Drosophila melanogaster: one gene and its partners. The protein of the gene in region 4 binds, or shares a complex with, the protein of the main gene of each other region. Each region holds a gene or a part of one and is shown on either strand. Other genes may lie near its edges.

What was found.
Region 1: mof (region 4) and MBD-R2 share a complex: the UniProt entries of both Drosophila melanogaster proteins name them as parts of the non-specific lethal (NLS) histone acetyltransferase complex.
Region 2: mof (region 4) and msl-3 share a complex: the UniProt entries of both Drosophila melanogaster proteins name them as parts of the male-specific lethal (MSL) histone acetyltransferase complex.
Region 3: mof (region 4) and mle share a complex: the UniProt entries of both Drosophila melanogaster proteins name them as parts of the male-specific lethal (MSL) histone acetyltransferase complex.

The regions. Positions count from the first base shown.
Region 1 is NT_033777.3:12,351,623-12,358,071, forward strand, and holds MBD-R2 (MBD-R2), read right to left. Parts: upstream 4,644-6,449; 5' UTR 4,522-4,643; coding exon 3,297-4,521; intron 3,224-3,296; coding exon 2,573-3,223; intron 2,509-2,572; coding exon 2,376-2,508; intron 2,323-2,375; coding exon 992-2,322; intron 923-991; coding exon 753-922; 3' UTR 521-752; downstream 1-520. Other genes in the region: CG10041 (uncharacterized protein), read right to left, coding at 1-441. UniProt on the Drosophila melanogaster protein: Component of the non-specific lethal (NLS) complex, a multiprotein complex that promotes expression of housekeeping genes on X chromosome and autosomes.
Region 2 is NT_037436.4:7,122,674-7,127,525, forward strand, and holds msl-3 (male-specific lethal 3), read right to left. Parts: upstream 2,861-4,852; 5' UTR 2,750-2,860; coding exon 2,648-2,749; intron 2,531-2,647; coding exon 2,352-2,530; intron 2,286-2,351; coding exon 1,728-2,285; intron 1,670-1,727; coding exon 1,173-1,669; intron 1,118-1,172; coding exon 1,033-1,117; intron 978-1,032; coding exon 860-977; 3' UTR 540-859; downstream 1-539. Other genes in the region: form3 (formin 3), read left to right, coding at 1-284; BBS1 (Bardet-Biedl syndrome 1), read left to right, coding at 3,253-3,532, 3,596-4,663, 4,746-4,852. UniProt on the Drosophila melanogaster protein: Component of the male-specific lethal (MSL) histone acetyltransferase complex, a multiprotein complex essential for elevating transcription of the single X chromosome in the male (X chromosome dosage compensation).
Region 3 is NT_033778.4:5,974,765-5,982,330, forward strand, and holds mle (maleless), read right to left. Parts: upstream 6,015-7,566; 5' UTR 5,931-6,014; coding exon 5,855-5,930; intron 5,796-5,854; coding exon 5,279-5,795; exon of another isoform or gene 4,937-5,278; intron 4,874-4,936; coding exon 4,555-4,873; intron 3,914-4,554; coding exon 3,223-3,913; intron 2,705-3,222; coding exon 426-2,704; 3' UTR 330-425; downstream 1-329. UniProt on the Drosophila melanogaster protein: RNA helicase component of the male-specific lethal (MSL) histone acetyltransferase complex, a multiprotein complex essential for elevating transcription of the single X chromosome in the male (X chromosome dosage compensation).
Region 4 is NC_004354.4:5,873,325-5,878,784, reverse strand, and holds mof (males absent on the first), read left to right. Parts: upstream 1-1,931; 5' UTR 1,932-2,032; coding exon 2,033-4,516; 3' UTR 4,517-4,945; downstream 4,946-5,460. Other genes in the region: Usp30 (ubiquitin specific protease 30), read left to right, coding at 1-739, 980-1,179, 1,238-1,355. UniProt on the Drosophila melanogaster protein: Histone acetyltransferase that catalyzes the formation of the majority of histone H4 acetylation at 'Lys-16' (H4K16ac), an epigenetic mark that prevents chromatin compaction and constitutes the only acetylation mark intergenerationally transmitted.

The DNA of each region.
Region 1 (6,449 bases), on a different chromosome or scaffold from region 4:
GCTACGAAATCGCACATCGTCGAGCGGGAATTTGGGGTAAATCCTCAACACGGCAATGTCGTTGCCGCCGAGCACCCTAAACTGGGGATGCCATCTTCTTTCCACGACGAAGAAGCGGGTCTGCTTCCGGCTGTTCAGCGAATCGGCGCCACCAGCCACGTACAGTTGTTTGGTTGGATTCGTTTGGATGCAGTGGGCTGCACTGAGCACGAACTCATTCGAAAGTATAACGCCCACGCAAAGGTGCTTGTAGTATCCTTTAAGGTTCTCTCCTATGGAGACGATGTATGGATAACGAGGGCGGAAACTTATCACCTTCGTGGTCGACACAGTTGTGGCTAACAAAGGTGTGCTATTCTGCGGGGTGTCGGAAAGCGTCTCCTGGGCTGCCGACATCGCGGCGAACCAAGCTATGGAGCAAAGAGATTGCCAACAACACATAACTGCGACCAAGTCACGAATACAAAGACGTCACAAAGACGTCTTGTAGTCAGGTTTTATCATCAAGCATCTTAACTTTATAATTGGGCATGAAATTATAATTTTCTGTATTCTCACATGGTTAACTTTAAAAGAATATACATTTAAATTCCATTATATTATCAAACTTTATAAAGTATAGCAATATTTTTTTTGAAGAGAAAAAGCTTGTACGGTTACTATCTACACGTCTGCAAAATTATGGAAACAGTTCGAAAATAGCTTAAAAGAAAATCCTCATTAGACCCCTATAACCGTGATCAATAGAAATGCTACTTGCTAGTGGCAGAATCTCTGAGGGTCTGCTTCATATTGGCCACCTGGTTGAGCTTGGCAAGGCGCTTCATGGTTTCGAGCTCCTTAATAAACGTGGCCAGCGCCTCTTTTGTGGTCGAGATGTCAGCGTCCTTTAAGTCATCCAACGTGTCCTCCTTTTCAAGTTCTAAAAGAAATTCAAAAATATATATAGATTCATATATACTCGTGACAAAAATTAGTTTTGGATACTAACCGTCCATTTCGGCTTCTATGTCATTCAGCCGATCGAGAACCAAGGATTGCTGCACCTTGATATGCTCGATCAAACGGTACTGGCACTCCTCCGGATCGATGGCAGCTTCCGGTTGCGGAACGTTCGGAAGGTCGGGGGCCTCCAATTTTGCACGCTTAACCGGTGTCAACGCAGTAGAGTCCAGATTGTCTTCGTCCCACTTTTTGGCCCATAGATAAAGCTTCGGATGACAGCGGTTGCGTGCGATGTTAATCTTCACCAGCAGCGAGTGCATCGATCGCTTGGCATCTAGCAAATTGCCGGTCAGCGTGTGCGAGCGCTTCAAGAGCTCGAATTGTTTGGTGGCCTGTGGATTTGCAGTGTGATACGCGGCCACCGGCAACTTGCCTTCGAATAGCCAGTCCTGGTCGTGCTTAAATCTCATAGAATCCCGACCCCTCTGCGGATTGCGACAAATGTAGCACACATACTTGTCCGGTACATCTGCCTCTTTGACAATTCCGTTGCATGCACCGTGTTGCCAGCATAGGCACAATTCACATTGGATCATTAGGCCGTCCTCTTCGCCATACTCGCAGATGCAGTTAATGATCTCCTCCTGCCGCATGCGCACAATTCGAATTAGTTCACCATTTTCCTTGATGTACTGTGGTGCTTTGCTTAACGTTTCAGCTGGTGGTGGGGCAAGGGCTGCATTTATGTCGGTCTGGTCATTAGATGATGGCGTGGACACCGAATCTCCCATGGCTGGTGAGTCAATGGAACTGATGGGAGTTGTTGCCGCACCACTGCGGCGTTTTTTCGAGTCGATGCGCGTATCCGGAGTGGGGGTGTTAAAAGATTGCCGTGTCTCCTCAACATCTTGTTCGGTTAAGCCATGACCAGCCGGGTTATCTGACAAAATGGGACGACGCTGAGAGCGCTGGCGGTTACTCTTTCGCGAGCCAGATGGCCGCTTCGACGGCGACAAGCGTGCACGCTTGCAGGAACGACTCAATGAAGGATTAAACGACTGAGTTGGACCAGCATCCAGAGAAACATCTTCTTGTTTAATGCCACTTTCAACAGTTGGCGACACACTTGGTGGCTCCATCTTAGGAGATAACAGGGCCTTAGTAGGCGTTATGTCAGATGGCGTTGAAGATGTGGCCGTAGCTGATACACTCTGTCGTTTAAACGATCGTGACTGCTGCAAATCCTGCTGGTGCATTTTGGCAAAGAATTGCTGGTTGGGTATTTGGTTTTTTGGCACCGCCTCAACTTGATCGATGGATGAGGGGTGCGTACGTTTGACCGCTAGTTCCTGCATCTTTGGACAGTGGCTGACGTGTCTGTAGATTTAAAGTAAGTTAGGTGTCATGAGTTTTGAATGAATATTACTCACTCTGCAAACTCCTTGTGATAATGGCGAATGTGGATTAGCAGAAAGTCTTCTTTGCGATAGGTCTTGGCGCAATCTTCGCGCGGGCATACATAAAGATTGTCTTGGATTTTGACTTTTAGGCCCCCAATGAAAGCTGAAATATGGAATTATAATTTATTTTAATATAGCACATGTTATTTCAAATTGCATATACTTACCAAAGCCATTTTCCACCACATGAGGATCTGCTAACATAAGCTGAGAGGTACCTCCCTCACTGGCTTCCAGTATTTCTGCTTCTATCTTGGGCTTTGTCTCATCGGCAGGCTGCGTCTGCGGCGACATTAACTCAGCTGGTGGCATAAGCGAGGCCACCGGTGCTTCCATGTACTGGCTTTCTTTCACCGGCATCGGAGTAGAAGGTAAAGAATGTTGCGACGTGATGCTCTGGTCCAGCGTGGAGTTCATCGACACATCCATGGGCCTGGGCTTGGGCGGTGGCTGCGGATTGTAGCCGTGTGTGTAGACGTAAGCATTGATGTCTTTGGCACGACGTCGATGGATGCTAAAGTCGTACACATCCGGGTTGTAGACCAGATTCTGGGACTCAAGGAACAACTTCAAGTCGGACTTGGAGCGGAAACGTTTGCCGCTGGGCGAGACCAGAATAACATCCCACTTGCCGAGGACGTTGGACCGCTGGTACATGTGCTTGATCCAGCCAGGAGGCAGACGCCAATCCTGCACGATAACAGTGGGTTTCTGGTGCTCGCCCACAATCAGAAAACCCTCGGTTCCAATAGGCTGGTCATTTACCCAATGACAAGTCCACTCGCCGTCATGCGGTATTTCTGGGAGTCCAAGGGATGCTGTTGGTTACGAAAGTCAAACATGAAAGTTAAGTTTAAGGCAAAACTAACATTCTCCTTTCGGTGCTCTTACCTATATCCAAACTGGCCATGTCCAGCAACGGCCAATCCCTGCGCTGAGGTGCACATTTGCTCTTCTTGCTGCCCGAAGAGCCACTGGATCCGCCAAGGCTGCCTGTGCTCGCCCGCTTCGGAGCCACAGGTGCAGAGCTTACTGGAGTTCCAACAGGAGTGGGTGACTTTGAGGCACCCTCTTCCGCTACCTGAACAGGGGGCAACTGCTTGGGCATCTTGTTCATGTGCACGGCGCGCACGTTCTTAACGTAACCATCGTCGAAGAGAACCTCGTAGGTATCGTTGCCCAGCAACTTGCGTATGGTTCCTGGAAACTTACGCGGCCCCGACCAGCGGGCCATGCACTTCTCGTCCAGCTCAAAGACGGGCAGCACACGGTTGCTGAGGCGCTGCCTCAGCCGCTCCGACTTGATGGCCATCCACTCCTGAAAGCTGCCGCTGGTCGAAGGTGACACCTTTAGCTTGTGATTGCGCTCAAAGCGCACGAGTAGCGTCTGCTCCGTCTCGTTAACTTCCACGATGCGGGCGGGCAACCAGTTGCCTTCCACACTGAGCGCCTCCAAACGGGCGCCAATAGTCAGGTTATGTGGGTTGCTGTACTTGGGCGGTGTGCCGGGCAAAGGTGAGTTCGAACTGGAAGCGGATCCAGGAGCTGGGACTGTGGCTTCGCTGCTTGCGGCTACCGGAGTCCCTGAGGGTTCCTTTGCAGCTGCCTTGTTTGCATCTTCTCCACTTTCGGGAGTATTTTTAACGTCATCCGCCGCCTTGCCTGTTTTACCTTCCTCCGTGGCCTTGCGTTCTGCAGATTCCGACAGGATTTGCGCAACTATTTGGTCTACCGTAGCTTTGATCACATCGTCATTGGTCGATGACTGAGCATTTCCCGGGGTTTCAGTCGTTCCCTCCACGCTGGCGTGCTGAAGTGCCCGTTGGTCTGCTTCGATCTCCGCGGTATCCATCTTGCCCCATGGAAAAACGGTGGGAAAGACGCGCGGCTTGAGCAGATACTTCCCATTGCGGATAGTGTTGAAGTCCAAACGGCGGAAGTGGCGTGAGCAGACCAGCACGCTCTTGGTGATCTGGCGCTCCAGGCTGATGCGAGAGTTTTTGATCCATATGGCGCGGATGATGGGATCTAGGGGGAAGGAGTGGTAAGTCACGCCGTTGTGCTCCAACAGACGCGACGTCGACGGGCAGTTGGCCACGCAGCACCGGCGGCCCATGGCGATGAAGTTCACCCAATTCTCTATTTTGTTTGCCTATGTGCAAACGCACACTTTGCTAAGTGATGAAATAATCCAGGAAACGACGCGAAAATTATCCAGAAAAATACAGCGCAATAAATTAGTGATACCAAATTGGGGTACAGTAAAAACGTGTGCGTCGGCAAACTATCGATAGTTAGATATTGCCACCTTGTTGGAAAAGTTCAAAACTATTTAACGATATTTTTTGAATTTTATAAAAAATAAATTTTAAATGACTTTATTGCATAGATCTTTATTGTGGTGATAAATAAATACTACTTTCGATAAATAAATAAATATTACTTTAGAGCCTGAGTAGGTTGAATTTAATTACTTTTTATTTCTGACTATCTCAATTTTCATGAAACTTTACATCAATCTTCCTGCCATAAATTAACTATTAAAGTTGGTAAATACCCGCTGCACAATTAATATTAATCGGTGCGTTAATGCATTTTAGCGAAGTGAGGGTGCCATAAATTTCCTCAGCTCGGCGGAAAAAGGATCACGTGCCGATACGCCACCGTTCCCAAGGCCACCGAAAGCCTATTTGAAATGCAATTAATGTACGCTTTTGGGCTTACATGTCACCACGTTCGCCAAAAGGCAGACACCTTGCAAAAAGCTAACCAAATACGATATTATCCATTCGACAAATGCTTCTGGAAATATGTATTTCAACACTGGGTTTCAAAGTTTGAGGAGCAGCTATTTACGCATACTGCTAAAATAAACACTCATTGTAGTTTTTAATTACAATATTTCACCCGGTCATTAGCATGCAAGAAACAACTGACAAATTTAAATGTGGCGCCTGCTGCTTGATCGGTTGATTGAGCCGCCAAAAAAATCGATTGAAGTATGGAGCTTTGGCCTTCAAATCGAAATATGTGAGGAAAATGTGATGGCACATTTTGAAAGAATAAAATATTAAGATTCTCTATATTGTGTCAATATCTTATGTATATATGTGGCTTGACCCCTCGAATTCCGTAACTAAACAGTTTAGTTCCATTACAAATATTGTTTTAGAATGATAGCCGGAAACTCACGGTCGAAGAGCTTCCTGTTTTTGGGTACTTCCCTGAAAACGAGGTCTCTGGGTCAATCGGTTGACTTTTAGATCTTGGGCGTGTTTGCGAAATTGACACGGAGCCAATATCAAATGGTGTTGACTTTGATTCAGTGGATTGCCAATATTTGTAATCAAATCACGGCTGGAGCATAAAGCAAACTTTAATTATAAAATGCTTTTATTGTCATATGCAGCTGACATAAATATTAAATAACGTGAGTAATTGACGTTGCTAAGCCGAATAATTTAGCATTTTATAAATTTTGGTCAGTCAAAAACTGACATTGAGGGGGCCACTCGAAGGGAAATCCAAAATGGGTGGTAAACACGGTTAGATTTCCGTTTGCATAACTATTAGTGAACATATTTGCATAAATTATCGACACTCGATGAAATTGGGACGACTGCACCTGACCTCACTCTCTTTTTGTGCAAATAATTCAACAATATGTAACCTGTGCAAAAATATTTTTCAAAAACAGAAAACCGAAAACAGAAATATGTACAAGGAGAGTACAAAACTTTTGGTCCAACTGACGGCGGCACTTTCTCCTTTAATATTTACCCAACTCATCGACAAATTGGCCAGGCCCATTCCCCAGCCTCATCTCATCGGTCCCAGCCGCATAGCCCATAAGTCAGCCCCTTCTCCCTCTCCCTCTCCCGATCCCGATCCCCATTCCGATACCGTCTGGGAACTCATTGCGTAAATATGAGGGCATGCAATGCGGTAATAGGCTGGCTGCGCGTCTCTTGACAGTTGGGCCCAGTTTCCCGGTTCCTTATCACATGATTATTACCCAAAAATATTATCGCTAAATGATGATGA
Region 2 (4,852 bases), on a different chromosome or scaffold from region 4:
CCAGTGTGATCTTGGTGCGCAGCAAGATGTCCAACACGGCTCCGAAATCGAGTATCCATGGTAGCACCAGTTTTAAGGAAAACCAGTCCCAGTCCCAACCCCAGTCACAGTCCCGAATGAGCGCCGCTCGCAGCGTGGTGCTGGTGAAAAATGCCCTGAACCAGCAGCAGCAGGCCAGGATGAGTGCGAACCCCAGTCCGCAGCAGAGGAGCACTAGCAGCAGTCGATCCGTGAGCAGCTTCATGCGACCCACGGCCAGCAGTGCCACCAAGCGACAGAAGTGAGGGCCGGCAGTCCAGTCCAGTTCAGTCATCGTCCAAGTTAACGTCCCAAGTTTACACATGTTACAAACGCGAATGCATCCAACTCCAAGCCGTCCAAGCGACAATTTCGAATTTCTAAGCAGGATCTGAAACACAAATCAGCACACACATAGTTGTTACAGTTGCAATATTTTGAGAAATTATACAAATCTTAAGAATTCCCTGCACATTCCAACTCAAGGTCCGCAAATCCTTAATACAAAAGACAACAACTTTCCAACTCTTAAATATATTTGAGCACAAAAAACAAGGCATGACAAAAATACTAGCATGTACTACTCAACTAAAACTTAGGTTAAGCAAAAAAAAAAAAAAAAACAAAAAAAAATGTTAAAATCGTATTTTCAATATTTAACATATATAGTTATAGGCATTATTCGATTATACGATCACATTAGGAAACTTTTTTATAGAAGTGCGTTGTTTACAAAGTGTGTAGTTGAAGAAACCAAAACGACAATTACAAATCTTTAAATAAAAGAGCATAAGCTTTAATCGTAATAATAAATAAACTAGATAACTACGATCAACTAAAGCTAAGCAGCAATCCCATCCAGGGAGTCCAACAGCTCCCGCTGCAGATCTTCCTGGGGCAGGGCAGTGGAGTTAACAAAGTTTTCCCTGTCGAACCACTCCCTGTGGTTCTCCAAGTAGCTGAAAAACCAACAGATTAGCTTCGTGATGGACTAGGGAGGGGTCTTAGACTTACTTGATGAAGGCGTCGAGGTGGGGAAGTAGATCTTCTAGCTTCTTGTTGCTGATCGGCGATGCGTTTAAGAACATGGGCATTTTAACTGCAAGTACCATGAATTAATGTGTGTTATAGAATGCAAGAAAGATTGTACATACTCATTAGCCTAACCAGGTGGGGAGCGCCAAAGACCATGGACTTTTCTGGCGGCGATTCCGCTGACAAAAGCCGCCACTTGAATGTTTCGTTCAGAAATCCACGCATCTCCACGGGCAGTTTGTAGGCAGCCGTATATGGGGAAGTCCTCTCATAGGCCTGCGCAGTGTTTTTCCCGCTGGCGGTAACAATGTAGAGCAGGCATTTTTGCAACTGCTTCTCGTACTCCGGACCGCCGATATTAATAACTCCGATCTGTCCATTGGTGTCGCCCGACCCTTCTACCACTGGCGTGCCGTCCAGACCGATCAGTTCCGTGTCACCGCTGGGATTGATATACTCGTACGACTTGTTCAATATTAGGCTGCAGTTGCGCATGTTGTCGTCTGTGAGGTAGTTGTGGACATACTCCTTCTCCTCCGTATACAGCAAGTGGTCATCCACGTGGAACTCAAAGTAGATACGCAATCCGTCTACCACCTCCTTCAGCATGCAGACACTGTTAATAAGTAAGAGTATAAGTGGGTTGTTAAGTCTGATATTGAGTGGTAACCAACGTGGACATAACGCGATCGTATTCCCGCTCCATTCTGGCATTGCGACTCTGCGTGTTCCTGGCCCTCGAGCTGTCCTGTTTAATGCTAATGGCTAGCTCCACGGCCTGCTGCTTGACGAAGTTTTCCATGATGGTCACGATGGGCACGCGGGCGGGCAGTGCGTGCTGTTTGCCTAGTACCTTGATCATATTCCGATCGTACTCTATAAGCTCTCGCAATCGCTCGCTGACTCGCATCATAATGCGATCCTCCTGTGGCACATGGTTATAGACCGATACATCATTTATGGCATTGTTATAAAAGGTCTCTGTTTGTCTGCCCCGGTTTCCCTTTAATCGGCCATCTCCGGACGGGGGTTTTTCCTTTCGCTTGCCACCGCTGTTGTCCCGCGTCCGGTTGCCCGCTGCTCGTGGAGTGGGCGCCATTTCGTGCTCCGCCTCAAGATGTCCCGTGTCCATTGGAACCACTATTGGCTCCTCAACGTGGGCCGCTTTTCCGCCGCGTTTCTTCTTGGCCGATGGCTTATCGGGTGTGCCCTTGTAGGAGTAGTCACCACGACTGTGCGAAAAAGAAGGGGGAACTCGTTAGAGAGGTATTCCACGCATGTCTAGGGGGTTATCTTACATTTGCAGCTTGGCAGCTTCGGCCAGCTCCCTTTGCAACTGGCGATTCTCCTCGGTGTCTTTCAATAGAACGGTGGCGCGCACACAGCGATCGTAGGATGGACGCCAGCCCTGGAAGTGAATCTTGTACTCGTAGAACCTCAGGCCATGCTCGTTCCGGCGCTCAAAGACGTTTAGCACCTGCGGCATGTACGGAAAATTGCGGGAAACGGAAAATCATTTGTGAAAACTTCGCCTACGACGTTTGCTTGACATTTCAATGCGCGCGCGTGTGTGTGTGTGTGCATGTGTATTTACCTTGCTGGTGTAAAGAACACGGGCCTTCGATTTATCCGGCTCGTAGCAAAGGACTATCTCGCCCTTGTGAAAGAGCGGTGTCTCGTCCCTTAGCTCCGTCATTACTTGCAGTTAAATAGGGCCGTAGTCAGTCACTTATGTATACAAAATGTTAAATATTGAATTCAACTGCTGGCGTCGCTGAGATGATATTTATAACGAATGTTTTTTGCGATAAGCAATTGACGTGGGTATCGAATATTCCCTCGCACTTATCGATAACACATACTGTCGATGCTTGCACGTCTTTAGCAGGCCGGCCTTAAGTGTGACCAGACAAAATGCATTTTTGGCGGCCAATTTAAATAAAATTTTCTATCATCAGTAATTTGATCACAGTTTTACCTTTTGCCAAATGATTTTTTAGTTATACGTAGCTTTACCCTGTTAGCATTTAAGAATAATGCTGACGATCATTTTGTGTTTTTAAGAAAAAACCCAAATAAGTAACAAAAAATGTGCTGTCATCCCGGTTGCTAAGGACAAGAAAAACCAAAACAAAAGCATGTCCTGAATCACCTGTTCGTTTTCACACTGTGCTGCAAATTTTTCACCAAGATCCTGCCATGGCCGGTGCTCCCAACTGGCTTCACGTGGACACGGCGGAGGAGGCTCCTCCACCGCATCTCACCACCCTCACCAGTTGCATGGCCCTGAGCGACGTGCAGTGCGACGGATATGTCCGGCTGCTGGCGGCGGACATTTCACTGGACAATGCCGCCGAGGAGCCCACTGCCACGCTGAAGGTTTTCCGTGGTCTTAAACTCAAGCACGAGCAGCCACTGCCGGGGATTCCAGCGGCCATTGAAAGTCTCTACATCGACGAAACGGAGCCCAAGACGCCGGGTAGAAATAACGTTGCATTTTAATATTTTTAAATTAGATTCCATAATGAATACAATTTTCCAGTAATTGCCGTGGCCATCGCTGAGTCAGTGCTCTTCTATCGTCACCTAAAGCCATACTTCAAGTACACGATTCCCGCACAGGACTCCGAGGATCTGGAGCTGGAGGTATGGCGAAAACTGCCGGTTGTGAAGCCAAGTGCCCATCCCGCCCTGCTTGACTCCCTAAAAACCATAGACCACTCCAAGCTGTCGCGGAAATCGCAGCGACTTCTGCAAATGGGCGAGCAGGAGCGGGAGCACTTCATTGCCACGCACAAGGACTCCCCAGTGGGTCGGGTTGGCAACATTGTGGCCATGTGCTGCATAAAGCGCATCTCCAGCGATGCCAATCCCCCGTCCCACTTGGTCCTGGCCACCGATACCGGGCACATCATGATCCTGGAGCCGCAGGGCTTCAATTTGGTTTACCAGGGCAAGGCCTGCGATGATGAGACGGCCGTGCCGAGCCTGATCTCCGTGCAGGGAACCTTTGAGACGGATTTCTGCATCGTGGTGGCCACGCGAAATGGCGGTGTCTACCTCCTGCGGAAAAGCCAATCGGAGGGACAGGAGATCTTCAAGCTCGGCATCCCCCTAACCGGCCTCCTACTGCTGCCCATCGATCAGACGATAATCGCCTCCACCATGGACAATCGCTATCTGTGCTACTCAAAGCGGGGCAAGCTGTTATACCAGGTGCCCATGTCCGATCTACCCGTTTGCCTCCTACCGCTGCCCTTGACCCATCTGGGACTCACCCTGGTGGCCATTGCCCTTAGAGGAGGAGTGGTCAAGTTTTATTTGCAGCGCTACCTCGTCGACGAGTTTGTTCTCGAGGAGACGGTGGATGCCATGCTGTACGGACGAATGGGCATGGAGGATCACGTCCTCACGCTCGTTACTCAATCTGGTGGTATCGTGGTTAAGATCCTGAGACGTGTGTCCCGCTTTGAGCCCAAGGCCGGTGATTTGGCGAACAAGCGAGCATTGGGCGATAACAAATCCATCGTGGATGCCTCGATTTTGGATAAGCCCAAGAAGAGCTCCATCTTTGTGGAGCAGGCGGCAAGGGAGAAGCAGCAGGCCAAATGTAAGTAACCCTCTTATTTTCATAACACAATTTTATATAGTTATTGTTCTAATCAAGATTATTCTTTCATTTCCTATTCCAGCAACCTACGGAAGTTTCCAAGTGGAGCTGTGGCGTCTTCGCCACACAGCAGCCCGAGCAACCATCGATGCCATCAACTCGTCGGAGAGCACGATATCTGGAGACCTG
Region 3 (7,566 bases), on a different chromosome or scaffold from region 4:
TATATATTGTTGTCATGACATATGTTTTAAAAAGGTCTAATTGCGAAATCAGTAATCGTCTAAAATGCTAGCAGAGATAAAAAATAATGATTACACAGGTTCACCAAAAGCCTTTATAGAATGAATGTTTTTGATCTCATTTTGTGACAATAAACGATTTCCACGCCTTCACAAACGAAATTCCAGCAATATATGTATGTATGCAACAGGTTAGGGAATGTCAGCGGAACTATCATATTTGGTTACTATTTACATACGTTAACTCGTGAATCTATTCGGATCGCACATGCGTATTTAATGCCAAAAAACCAAAAGATTCAATGCGTCTTATTTGTATAATCCCTTCAGCATATCGAAATGCGAATAGTAATGTTTATTATTCTTTTTGTTTTTGAAAAAACCAATACATTTTTTTTATGTATCCGTTAAAAGTTACCCCAGCGGCCGCCTTGGTCGCCATTTCTAAAGCCGCCGCCTGATCCTCTATTGCTTTCAAATGAGTCTCCAAATCCACCTCTCTTGTTCCCATATCCTCCGCCATTGTTTCCATATCCTCCACCATTATTTCTATAACCTCCGCCATTATTTCCATATCCACCATTATTTCCATAACCTCCTGCATTATTTCCATATCCTCCTCCAATATTTCCATATCCTCCTCCATTATTTCCATATCCTCCTCCATTATTTCCATATCCTCCTCCAAAAGTTCTGCCGTTTCCACGGCGACCAAAGCTGCTGTTAGTAAAGCGTCCTGTCTCAAAGCGACCTCGTTTGGGCGGTCCTCCGCCGTCACTGAACTGACGTGATTGGTGCGGCAGAATTCCTGATTCACGCTGCAGTCCGAAGTCTCCGGCGCTCTTAACGCAAAGGTCTTTGACCACTTTGACCAGCTGTGCATAGGGCTCCTCAAGGCGAAGTATGTCGGAAGGGTTGTCGCACGCCACCGTGATAAGATCCTCCAGGGCCGGCTTAAGGGCACCAATCTTGGCCGCAAGTTCCGGCTCTATGTCGAAGTTAAGCCAGTTGTCAACGCGCACTATATTGTTGGCGGCCAAGTCAATCTTGCGCGATCCAAACAATATCACCTGCAAGGGCGAGACCATAGATAGTTGCTTGCAGGAAACAGCTCGCGTGCGAATCTTCTCGCCGAAAACGAAGAACGGATACGGAAATGTGACGGCCAAGTTGCTGCAATTCACCGAGGTTTTGTGCAGTAACGCTGCTTTAGACTCTGTAGTCAGCACTTTGCGCTTCTCCTTGTGCACGCAAATGTTGGGGTAGAGACCCAAGCACAGCAGCGCCAGGGACACATCCAGCACGGGGTCATCCCCATCAATCCTTTCGTCTACCTCGTGCGATATCATACACTCTTCTGGGAATCCTGCCTGCTGAAGGAGATCCAGTAACTGCTGCTTGGCATCCCAGATAACGTTCATAGTACTCATTTGCAGTCCTTTCCAGTCACAGAACCGAGCTTCCATATGCTCACCGCGTTGTTTCTCGCGCCGCCACATTTGTGAAGCTACAATCATTGCCACGTGGTCGGAACATTTGGTACCACTCAACGCTTTCTGATGATTTGCCAGGCGACGTTGACCTATATCAAGACTAAACACCTCTGAGAAGGTGCTAGAGTACGAAGCCATAATGGCCATTAGATCGGCGCAGCCAAATACTGCGCCGAGGACCATCATCTTTCCAAGTCTTGGTTCAATTGGGAGGCGTGCCAGCAGGCGCCCCAATGGAGTAAGTTCATCGTTAGCGTCAAGGCAGCGCATCTCGCGAAGCAACACCTCAGCTTCGATTACTGCGTCTACCGGAGGTGGCTCCAATGCCTTTGACAAAAAGTGGTGAATGGAGCCCAGTCTGAGTAATTTAATGGTCAACGCCATCTCGTGCAACGGTGTGCGGAACATCTCCGGCGTAAGATTGTCCTCTAGCGCTTGGAAGCGGGCACGCGAACAGAGTGTGAAGCAGAAGCCTGGTCGGACACGTCCAGCTCGGCCCTTGCGCTGCTCCAAATTGGTTTTGCTTGCCCAAACGGTGGCGTAGCTGGTTAGGTTGTTATGTGAAGTAAAGAGCTTCATGCGCGCCTTACATATATCAATTACGAAAACAATGTCGTCAATAGTTATAGAAGTCTCTGCAATGTTGGTAGAAAGTATAATCTTGGTTACGCCTTCTGGAACAGGCTCGAAAACCTTGCGTTGCTCGTCTCGTGGAATCTGCGAGTGGCACGGCAAAATTTGGTATTGGGATGTATCACCAAAAATGTTTGTATTTTGCAGAAACTTCATAAGCGCAAAGATCAGGTTCCAACCGGGCAGGAATACTAAGATAGCACCGGGAATATTTTTTGACTTAATATGCATCAATAATGCCTCCAGCAGCTCAAAGCTAACGTCCGATTCGGATAGCATGGCCATAGCATTTCGAGTCTTTTGTGAATACTTGTCCTCGCACACCTTGTTATAGTTGATTTCCGCCTCGTCCTTGTCCTCGGAAAGCAATTGCTCCTCGTCCTCCACTTCCTTGCGCTTTCGGCGCGACTCCGCCGAAGGCACAAAGTCTGTCATCTGAATAATGTCCTCCAAGAAAAATTGCTGCACGGGAAATGCTCTTCCGGGTACTTCCAATACGGGACAGATGCCAAAATATTTGGAAAATTTCGTTGTATCAATAGTGGCCGACATAAGAATAACTGCAATAGAAGAGTTTCTATTAATTATAGTGTTTTCTAAAAGTCATATCATATTAAATTAGGACTAGAAATGTATGACCCGTAATGCATATAAGTTTTAAGTTCTGAATAGTAATTTTGTTGGGCATAAGTAATTTTGGCAAGTCAACTCTACATTAAATATGAAACACAAACAATTGGCAATGCAAATTTTCAATGGAACAAACTGACAAATCGACTATTAAGAACATAACATATACACTCTGGGCGGATCCGGTACAAACAATATAATCATAATCTTCATTAATTAAGCCAGTGAATTAGTGCAAAATAAGTTATTTTCGCGGCTCAAAATCTGCTCAACATTGCTTTTTATACATGTAAATGTATGTATATATACAATACATATATACAAATGTATGTATATATAAATATATAAGTATAATCAACAATTGTCGAAGAGTTTCACCCCAAGAAATTTGAATGCAGGTTATACATACGGATTTATGTTAGAAATATTGCACCTTATTCGAGCTTACCATGCAGGTCCGGATATGTGTCGACCATGTCGCGAAGGATGACCAGCAAAAAGTCGCTGTTCACGTCTCTCTCGTGGATTTCGTCCACAATAATATGCGACACTCCTCGTAAGCCAGCCTCCAGCTTGCGCAGCAACACACCCACGGTGCAAAAGAGGATTGCGCCGTAGGGTCGTGGAAACACAGACTCAAATCGCACCGAGTAGCCTACAGTGTCGCCCAATTGCTCGCACCGCTCGCGAGCTACGCGCTCGGCCACAGAAATGGCTGAAATGCGACGAGGCTGGGTCACATAAATATTAGCGTACCCGCCCTGGCCGGAGCAGATGTAGTCATCAAGAATGTATTGGGCAATCTGGGTAGTCTTTCCGCACCCTGTGTTTCCACGAATGATTACCACTGGATTGTCATTAATTGCGGTTAAAATTTCCGACCGCATCGCTGCAATGGGCAGCTTTTCGCGGAACTCGAGGAATTGTCGGTACTCGTTGTCGTTTTGGCGGCGATCACGCAGCGAGCGTTCGTAGTCCATCGAAAGGTCATCAATAGAGGTGGTTGCCAGTTCGCCTTCGTCGATGTTGCAGGCATGCCACGTATTCCAGTTTGCCTGAGGAGGAGCCCACGGAATCACGGAGCTTTCCTGACGTTTTTCGCCATCCTGTTGCGAGGAATCTATACGGCTTAAGTTCACCTAGGAGAAAATATTTTACATCGTACACTACATTTTTTGTTCGCAAAAAAAAGGTGGTTTGGGTAGGGCAGCGTATTCCTATGCTCATATAGTAAGGGTATGAATGTAAGAGATAACAGAAATAATCTTGTTCAAGATCACTAGCCAAGTCTATCACAACAAAAGCTTGAAAGTTAAGATTAAAGACGCAGATTTTAGTTATGCTAACGTAGCGTAAAACCTTCTTTGAAATATCTTTTGAACACAGAATTGGATTAGGTCGATTATGGTGTCTGTCGACGCGTATTGAGAGCTATATATAGAAAAAATACAAATGTTACAGCCAAGTATGCAGTACAAATTAATCGAGTTAAAGTATTTGCATTGTTGTTTCGGCATATCAAATATTTTTGAGGGACTGAACGATGTGGGAGTTACTAGCGTATTCCTAAGTATATGACTTACGTAAATCAATATAATAATATATACTTTATAAAGTACTGTTGGATGTCATCAAGAATATTGAAACCGGTATACAACATTTAGCTAATAGTCTTTGTCTGATAAAATCTCTAAACTGTTTTTTAATACTCTGAGATAAGAAATTTAATTCAAATTGCTGATACATTTTTATTTTAGTTTTCTAGTTTCGTATTACTTACAATGAGAGGAATCGGAGGACCGTCCAGTTCGATTTTGATATTGCGCGGGTTTACGACAGGAAGGTCCAAACCCTTAATCACCTCATCAATTTTGTTTATCAGATTTGGCGAAAGCTTCACCGGATATGGCTTCAGCTGCTCATCCTTTTTTTTCTTCAGAGTTCCACTAAAGGGCTCTATCACATTTAAATGGAAAAGTTGGCGCACCAGGGACAGGGCGCATGACTTGCTGGCAGACTTCTTGTTTGAACCCGACTCACGGGCCGTCACCGTGCGATTGAGCGCCGGCACATAAATGGACAATTCGGCCAAAAAGCTCCTACATTAAAAGAACTTTTTGAAAAAATCTGGACTGGTAATGTAGATCAAATCCGGAACTTACCCTCGGGCTATCGTGGGAGTCTACGGACTGCTGAAGGAGCCAGCCGACAGAACGGCGTGGTACTAATGTGTTAGACGCAGCTGGAAAGTCAGCGCTTGAATTATTGTCAGCTAAGCCGCGTTGCATGGGCGTCCGTTTTGCTTACAGACCCCACGCAAGGAAGCTGGACGTGGTTCTTGTAGTTCGGAGTATCGTACCACATCGTTCTGCCGGCGCTGCTCTGCACAAATCAAATTGGTCACAGCCCGACATGATTATGGGCTGCATTTCAGATTTGGCCGTAGGCCATATTCGGTCAAATCCGAAATGCAGGCCGAAGAAAGTTGAAAAGGAAGCACATACCTAGCGTGTTCCGGGCCCACTGGTGTATATTTGTAATCGTCGCGAATGTTGTTCGTCTGCTTGTAAATGTTCAGTCGCTCTTTGGCATTCTCTATGGTCCAGTTACCGTGGATGGCAGCGTTGACATCGAAAGCCTCCGCTTCGTTCATGTCCCTCTGCTCCTGGATGCGATCAATTACTGAGTAGCGGTTACCGCCGTCACCGCCATCGTGGTTTAGAGGGCGATAGGCCTCACCCAGATCCTGTGGACCCGACTGACCATCAAACACTCGCTTCTGCTGTCCACTGCCCCCTGCCATGCCCGCACCCTCCAGACCAGTCCTAGGTCCGCCCCCCGAAGCACCAGCATCCGCTGGAACATCATTGGTGTTCAGTTTGCCCACGCGCACTAGGTAGTTGACAAAATCACGGCACGCATTTTTCTCGGCATCCTTTTTGTTAGTGGAATTACCCACACCAATATAGGTATTTGGCTCTACACGAACCTCGCAAAGGAACCGCTGGCGATTTTTGGGACCTATAAATTAAACTGCTACTTGGGAAACACGCCTGGGGGAGTGCAACATAACCACTTACCCGTTTGGCGAATATCAAACTTTGGTTCTATTTGCGACTTAGCACAAAATTGGTACAAAAAAGATTTTATATCCATTCTTAGATTTTCAATAAACTTTCTATCAACTACGGAGCTCAAATTAAATTTATTTCTTTTGTGATGTCTATTCTGATATCGATTAATTTTTTTGTTGCTTTACAAAACACTAACGCGTCTTGAATCGCCTATCAAAATAGGAACGGATAAAATAGAACAGTGTGTGTAGATATAAAAACATTTAATGTAATTTAATCTAAAATAAAAGAAACCTATAGAGAGACTTAGACATATTTGTATATATTGCACTATAAATAAACAGACAAATTTCTTATATATATACTTTTATTTATTTATTTAAATATAACGTAGAGTATAAAATTTTAAGGTAACTGAAACCTAGATGCATTAGCAGCTAGCACCTTCCATTTTATATTTTTTAAATTAGGTTGGAGCTTTTTAAAAAGTTTCTAATTGTGTTGATGTCAACTGTTCTATGTGGCGAAAGGGAAGAACAGTATGCTAGGATGGGATTAACGTCTAACTGGTTGCAAAGAGCGCATATAAATACATATACATATATATGGGGGACCTGTTCTTGTAATGGTCATTTGTAAGGTTGATGTGATCAAGCCTGAGACTGTTAATAAGAAATATCGTTTTCCTGTTGTGTGATGTGGTGTTGTTGAAAGGAGTTTGATGTGGTATGTTGAAGGATGAGCTTGTATCAGGGAGTTATGTTGTAATGCAGTTCTGTTTGTTTTGAATTGACGTATATGCCTATGTGCCGAGAAGTCTTTTATGTATAAGTAATAAATGAAATATTGCAAAACAAAAGAAACGGAATTCCAATTCAAATTGGTAGACGAATTTTGAGCCGTTTTTTGCGTAAGATGTGTAGGACAGAATATTATCGAATAATTGATATCATATGACTATGTTATGCCCTTCAATCCGTCAAGAAAGATTCCTCATATCATAGCAGGTCTTAGAATCCTTAAATAATTTACGCTAATTTACGATGAAAAAAATAATAATCAGCATAAATAATCATATATTAAATAGTCATTTCTGGCACCAAGAAGACCACTAAACTTGACCAGCGACACGACCATTGATTTCTGTTCAAATAAAAATATCCAAGCTGTTGAAATAAATTAGTATTTTAAAGATGATGACTGAAATTCAGTATTATAGTATATTTGCCCCAGTCTTTTGGTATTTCTCGAGTCCGCGTACTGGTCACACAGCTTTTTGCAACGCGATGGGAAAAAGAGGACGATATTTGAGTTAAAATGTGAATACGGATGCCAGCCCAACTAAATAATAGTGCAATCGCGAGTCACCCATTTAATCGCCTAGTTTGAATTCTTTTTTGCGGCCCCAACGCCGGTACACAGCTGGATTTTTGTTGGTTGCCAGCAGTCCAGCATCACGCACACCCACACGAGCAAATGTAGATAAAAGTGAGAAAACACTCACGCACGCACACACACAGGCACACGTTTGGTCGTGGGCAAGCATTTAATTTCGTTAGTGCCCAGTAAAACAGAGTTGAGCGAAAAGGCGATAGCAACTTGCACAAATTGTAAGCAGTGCAGAGAGTCAGTGAAGAGGGGATCGAGTGAGAGCGGCGTTTAGTGCCAACACCCAAGCGCTGATCTCGCAGCTACAAACAATAAACAAACAGTGAAAG
Region 4 (5,460 bases):
CATGGAGTATGATGAGAGCACCAGTTTGCAGCGATTGGTGCGTTCCGAGGCCCACACACCGGATTCGCCTGCCTCTGTTTGCGAACGCGACGGAAACGATCGCCTGGGATCCGTGCTTCTGGATGCCGTTTCGCCAGGGACACCCTTTGGCTTTCCGCTCGTCAGCAATCCGGATTCCTTGGCTACGCCTATGTTGGGCGGCGAGCGTTCGTCGCGACCGCGACTTCCACAATCCCAACAGCAGCAGGATGAGGGTCTGAATCGCCGGGTGTCCAGCTCCTGTCGATCGCTAGAGCGCCTGCATCGCGGACCAGGTCGGGTGTCCATCTGGTCCAACATGATGCCCAGCCAAGTGGCGCATCCGTTTCAGGGCGCCATGGGCGCACAGATCGTGTGCAATGGCTGCGGCTCCAAGTCGGCCGTTCGGTACGATAAGTTCGACAGCATAACGCTAAATCTGCCGCCGCAACGCAGAACTGGCTTGAGTTTGGGCCACTTGCTTAGCGAGTATATCACATCGGAGGATCTGAGCGATGTCAAGTGTGACTCCTGCAACGAGACCACCACGCACACCAAATCGGTTACGTTCGCTAAACTACCGGCCTGCCTGTGCATCCATGTGGCGCGGACGGTGTGGCTGCCAACTGGACAGGTGTGCAAGCGGAAGGACTATGTACACTTCCCCGAGAGCCTCTCCATGGCGCCCTACAGCTTCGTGCAGCCGCATCTCAATAGCCAGGTGAGCGTGTGTTGCATATGTTTGCCCCAGAATAACAAACTTCCCCTGTAAAAATTATCCTTATATATGATCATTTAAATACATATATCTAAAGGATATATATGTATAGGATATATCTATAGAATATAGGTCTTTCCTTTTCTAATTGGTGTACAAAGAGTAGTGGCATTCAATTCAAGAACTGTTTACATTTAGTAACTAGCATATTGTTAAAACAAACACTTTTGCTCATGATTACAGGCTGGCACTCCCTGGGGCTCGACAATGTCGCTGTATTCCTCCAGCCTGCCGATGAACAATGGCGTTGGTGGTGGCGAGGGCTTTGGCACGATGTTCCCCAAGAATCTTTACCGGCTTCTGGCCGTGGTGGTGCACTCCGGGGAGGCAAACAGCGGTCACTTTGTAACCTACAGGCGTGGCTCGTTGCGGAACGCACATCGGTATGGTTTCCATTGCCTCTGTGTAATAATTATGCTAATTCTGTGCTATCCTTATTAGGTGGTACTACACATCGGATACAATTGTGCGGGAGGTGAGCATCGACGAGGTGTTGAGCGTCCCCGCCTATCTTTTATTCTACGATCGTGGCCAGCAGAGGCAGCTAAATCTGCGCTAGTCAGGTGTAGGTCGTCGGTATTATTCTAGTCCATACTTTTGATGTGATGAATATGAATATCCGAAACCAAATCCTTTTCGTCGAACGGTGGCCATAGCAAACACGCGTCACATTTATATAGATATATATACATAACTCATATAAGTACGGGAACCCACGATGATCTGACCTATACTCGGCGGGTTCATGTAATGGTCTCCGCATAATCCAAACTCTGTGTACGGCTTATTGCATATAGGAACTCCCTATCGTAACAGAGAGCTCGACTCTTCATTTGTTATCTATGCATTTAAGATTTTTTAAGAATTCCAAATTCATGCCGTGCTTTTAGCTGTCTGTATTTAGCAATGTACACAAATCAACTACCAATAATTGTTTGCGCGTTAATTCTGTAGGATAGATGTTCAATAAAAATTTCGAAATCAGTTCCAATTTTTTAAAGTGCTTTCTCTGAAGGTTTTGGATAAATAAAATATATTATAATACTGAATGCACAGAAAAATCCAGAAGGGTAATTTCAAAAAGGGTGCAAAGTATTGTACATCGATAACCACCGATTAATAATCGATTATCTGGACATGTTGTGATAAATCAGGGTTGCATTTCACGCCGTATTTCGTTTCATTTCCCTAAAGAGTGAACAAAAATACGCAATTGGACAAATCTAGTGGCTAAGAATGTCTGAAGCGGAGCTGGAACAGACACCCAGCGCGGGCCACGTGCAGGAGCAGCCGATTGAGGAGGAGCATGAGCCGGAACAGGAGCCAACCGATGCGTACACAATTGGCGGTCCGCCGAGGACGCCGGTTGAAGATGCGGCGGCCGAATTGAGCGCCAGTCTAGACGTCAGCGGCTCGGATCAGTCGGCGGAGCAGTCGCTCGACCTCAGCGGTGTCCAAGCGGAGGCCGCGGCGGAGTCAGAGCCACCGGCGAAGCGCCAGCATCGCGACATCAGTCCCATTTCGGAGGACAGCACGCCGGCGAGCAGCACATCGACTAGTTCCACCAGGTCGTCCAGCTCCTCCCGCTACGACGATGTTAGCGAGGCGGAGGAGGCACCACCGGAGCCCGAGCCGGAGCAACCACAGCAGCAGCAGCAGGAGGAAAAGAAGGAGGACGGTCAGGATCAGGTGAAGTCACCAGGTCCAGTTGAATTGGAGGCACAGGAGCCCGCGCAGCCGCAGAAGCAGAAAGAGGTGGTGGACCAGGAAATTGAAACCGAGGATGAGCCCTCCTCCGATACGGTAATCTGCGTGGCCGACATCAACCCCTACGGCAGTGGTTCCAACATTGACGACTTCGTTATGGATCCCGATGCTCCTCCCAATGCAATAATCACCGAGGTGGTTACCATTCCAGCTCCTCTTCATCTCAAAGGGACACAACAACTGGGGCTGCCATTGGCTGCCCCACCGCCACCACCACCTCCTCCAGCAGCGGAACAAGTCCCCGAGACTCCCGCCTCGCCCACAGATGACGGCGAGGAACCACCAGCAGTATATTTATCCCCCTACATACGCTCTCGCTACATGCAGGAATCGACACCTGGCCTGCCCACCCGCCTGGCGCCGCGTGATCCTCGCCAGCGCAACATGCCGCCGCCAGCCGTAGTTCTGCCCATTCAAACCGTACTTAGCGCCAACGTTGAGGCCATTTCTGACGACAGCAGCGAAACTAGCAGCAGCGATGACGATGAAGAGGAAGAGGAGGACGAAGATGATGCCTTGACCATGGAGCACGACAACACTTCCAGGGAGACGGTCATCACAACAGGTGACCCTCTGATGCAAAAGATCGATATAAGCGAAAATCCCGACAAGATCTATTTTATTCGGCGCGAGGATGGCACCGTGCACCGTGGCCAGGTGCTTCAGTCTCGCACCACTGAGAATGCGGCCGCTCCCGATGAGTACTACGTCCACTATGTTGGTCTCAATCGCCGCCTGGACGGATGGGTGGGCAGGCATAGGATCTCGGACAATGCGGATGACTTGGGCGGTATTACCGTGCTGCCAGCGCCACCATTAGCCCCCGATCAGCCAAGTACTAGCAGGGAAATGCTCGCCCAACAGGCCGCCGCGGCGGCAGCTGCCTCATCCGAACGGCAGAAGCGTGCGGCCAACAAGGATTACTATCTGTCCTATTGCGAGAACAGTCGCTATGACTACAGCGACCGCAAGATGACACGCTACCAGAAGCGGCGCTACGATGAGATCAACCACGTGCAGAAGAGCCACGCTGAGCTGACCGCCACGCAGGCGGCGCTGGAGAAGGAGCACGAGTCCATTACGAAGATCAAGTACATTGATAAGCTGCAGTTTGGCAACTACGAGATCGACACCTGGTACTTTAGTCCCTTCCCCGAAGAATATGGCAAGGCACGTACGTTATATGTTTGCGAGTACTGCCTAAAGTACATGCGCTTCAGGTCGAGCTATGCCTATCATCTGCACGAATGCGACCGCAGGCGTCCGCCCGGAAGAGAGATCTACCGCAAGGGCAATATATCCATTTACGAGGTGAACGGCAAGGAGGAGTCACTATACTGCCAACTTTTGTGTCTGATGGCCAAGCTCTTTTTGGACCACAAGGTTCTATACTTCGACATGGACCCGTTTCTCTTTTACATCCTTTGCGAGACGGACAAGGAGGGCAGTCACATTGTGGGCTATTTCTCCAAGGAAAAGAAGTCGCTGGAAAACTACAACGTGGCCTGCATTCTGGTATTGCCGCCGCATCAGCGTAAGGGATTTGGAAAGCTACTAATAGCCTTTAGCTATGAGCTGTCGCGCAAGGAGGGCGTAATCGGTAGTCCGGAGAAACCGCTCTCGGATCTGGGTAGGCTGAGCTATCGCAGCTATTGGGCATACACGCTGCTGGAGCTGATGAAAACCCGCTGCGCTCCAGAGCAGATCACAATCAAGGAGCTGAGCGAAATGAGTGGCATCACCCACGACGACATTATCTACACGCTGCAGTCCATGAAGATGATCAAGTATTGGAAGGGCCAGAATGTCATTTGCGTTACGTCCAAGACCATTCAAGACCACCTCCAGCTGCCGCAGTTCAAGCAGCCCAAGCTGACCATCGACACCGATTACCTCGTCTGGAGTCCGCAAACTGCAGCGGCAGTGGTCAGAGCTCCGGGAAATTCCGGCTAGCATACGGAACCTGGAGACCCCGTTCTGCTATCATCGCATATAATTGTTATTGACGATGACGATTAGGTTTTTTTTTTTTATTTTTTTTTAAAGAAAGCGTAGGAATAAGCTATTCTATTGCACCCCTCCAAACGAAAAATGTATAGTCATATATCTAAATGGAACCATCAGAAGGTTCAATGTAATACTTAACATTTGGTTTACAATTTTTTTTTTTTATAGTTAAGGAGTTTTACGGATAGGCTGTTGTAACTCTTAATGATAGAACCAAATGTCTAATTCGTTTGGCTAATGTTTTTGGAGAGGGAATTTGGAACAACCATTTAAAAATTTTAAAAACTTCTGTGTTCTTGAAATATATATCTTTAACTACTTTATCTCGAAAAACTCTGGACTTGTTAAAAACCAAATAAACTTCCACAGCAGCCGATATGCCGACGCCTGAAGAGAATACATCTCTATGAACTCCTTACACGTAAGATAGCATAATCTCTCCACGGTACATTTTTATACACTATAATTAAGGAAGAGAATCCATAATATCTTTTAGGCTACACATTAGGTTAAGTTCAGAAAGAACTGAACGATTCCTACTGACTAATGAACAATAATAAATGATTTAAACTGTAAAAAAGAAAAACTCCAATCTGAGAACATGATGTACTTTCTCAAATAAATGCGTCGTTACATTAACGTCAAAAAGAGGAAAAATTAAATAAATATTTACAACGACAGGTTATTCTTTTCATTATTTTTGCAACACATTTCTTGTAGGTTAGCTTAATATGTATATTTTGATATAATAAAAAATATATATAGAAATATCGAAAACATTGGAAAAACAAGTTTAAAATTTCGAGCATTAAAATCCATTGCTAACCCTCTCCTCCCTAGCGTCATAAGCAATCGGTTATCGAGGTTATCGATAACGCCCGCATCGATAC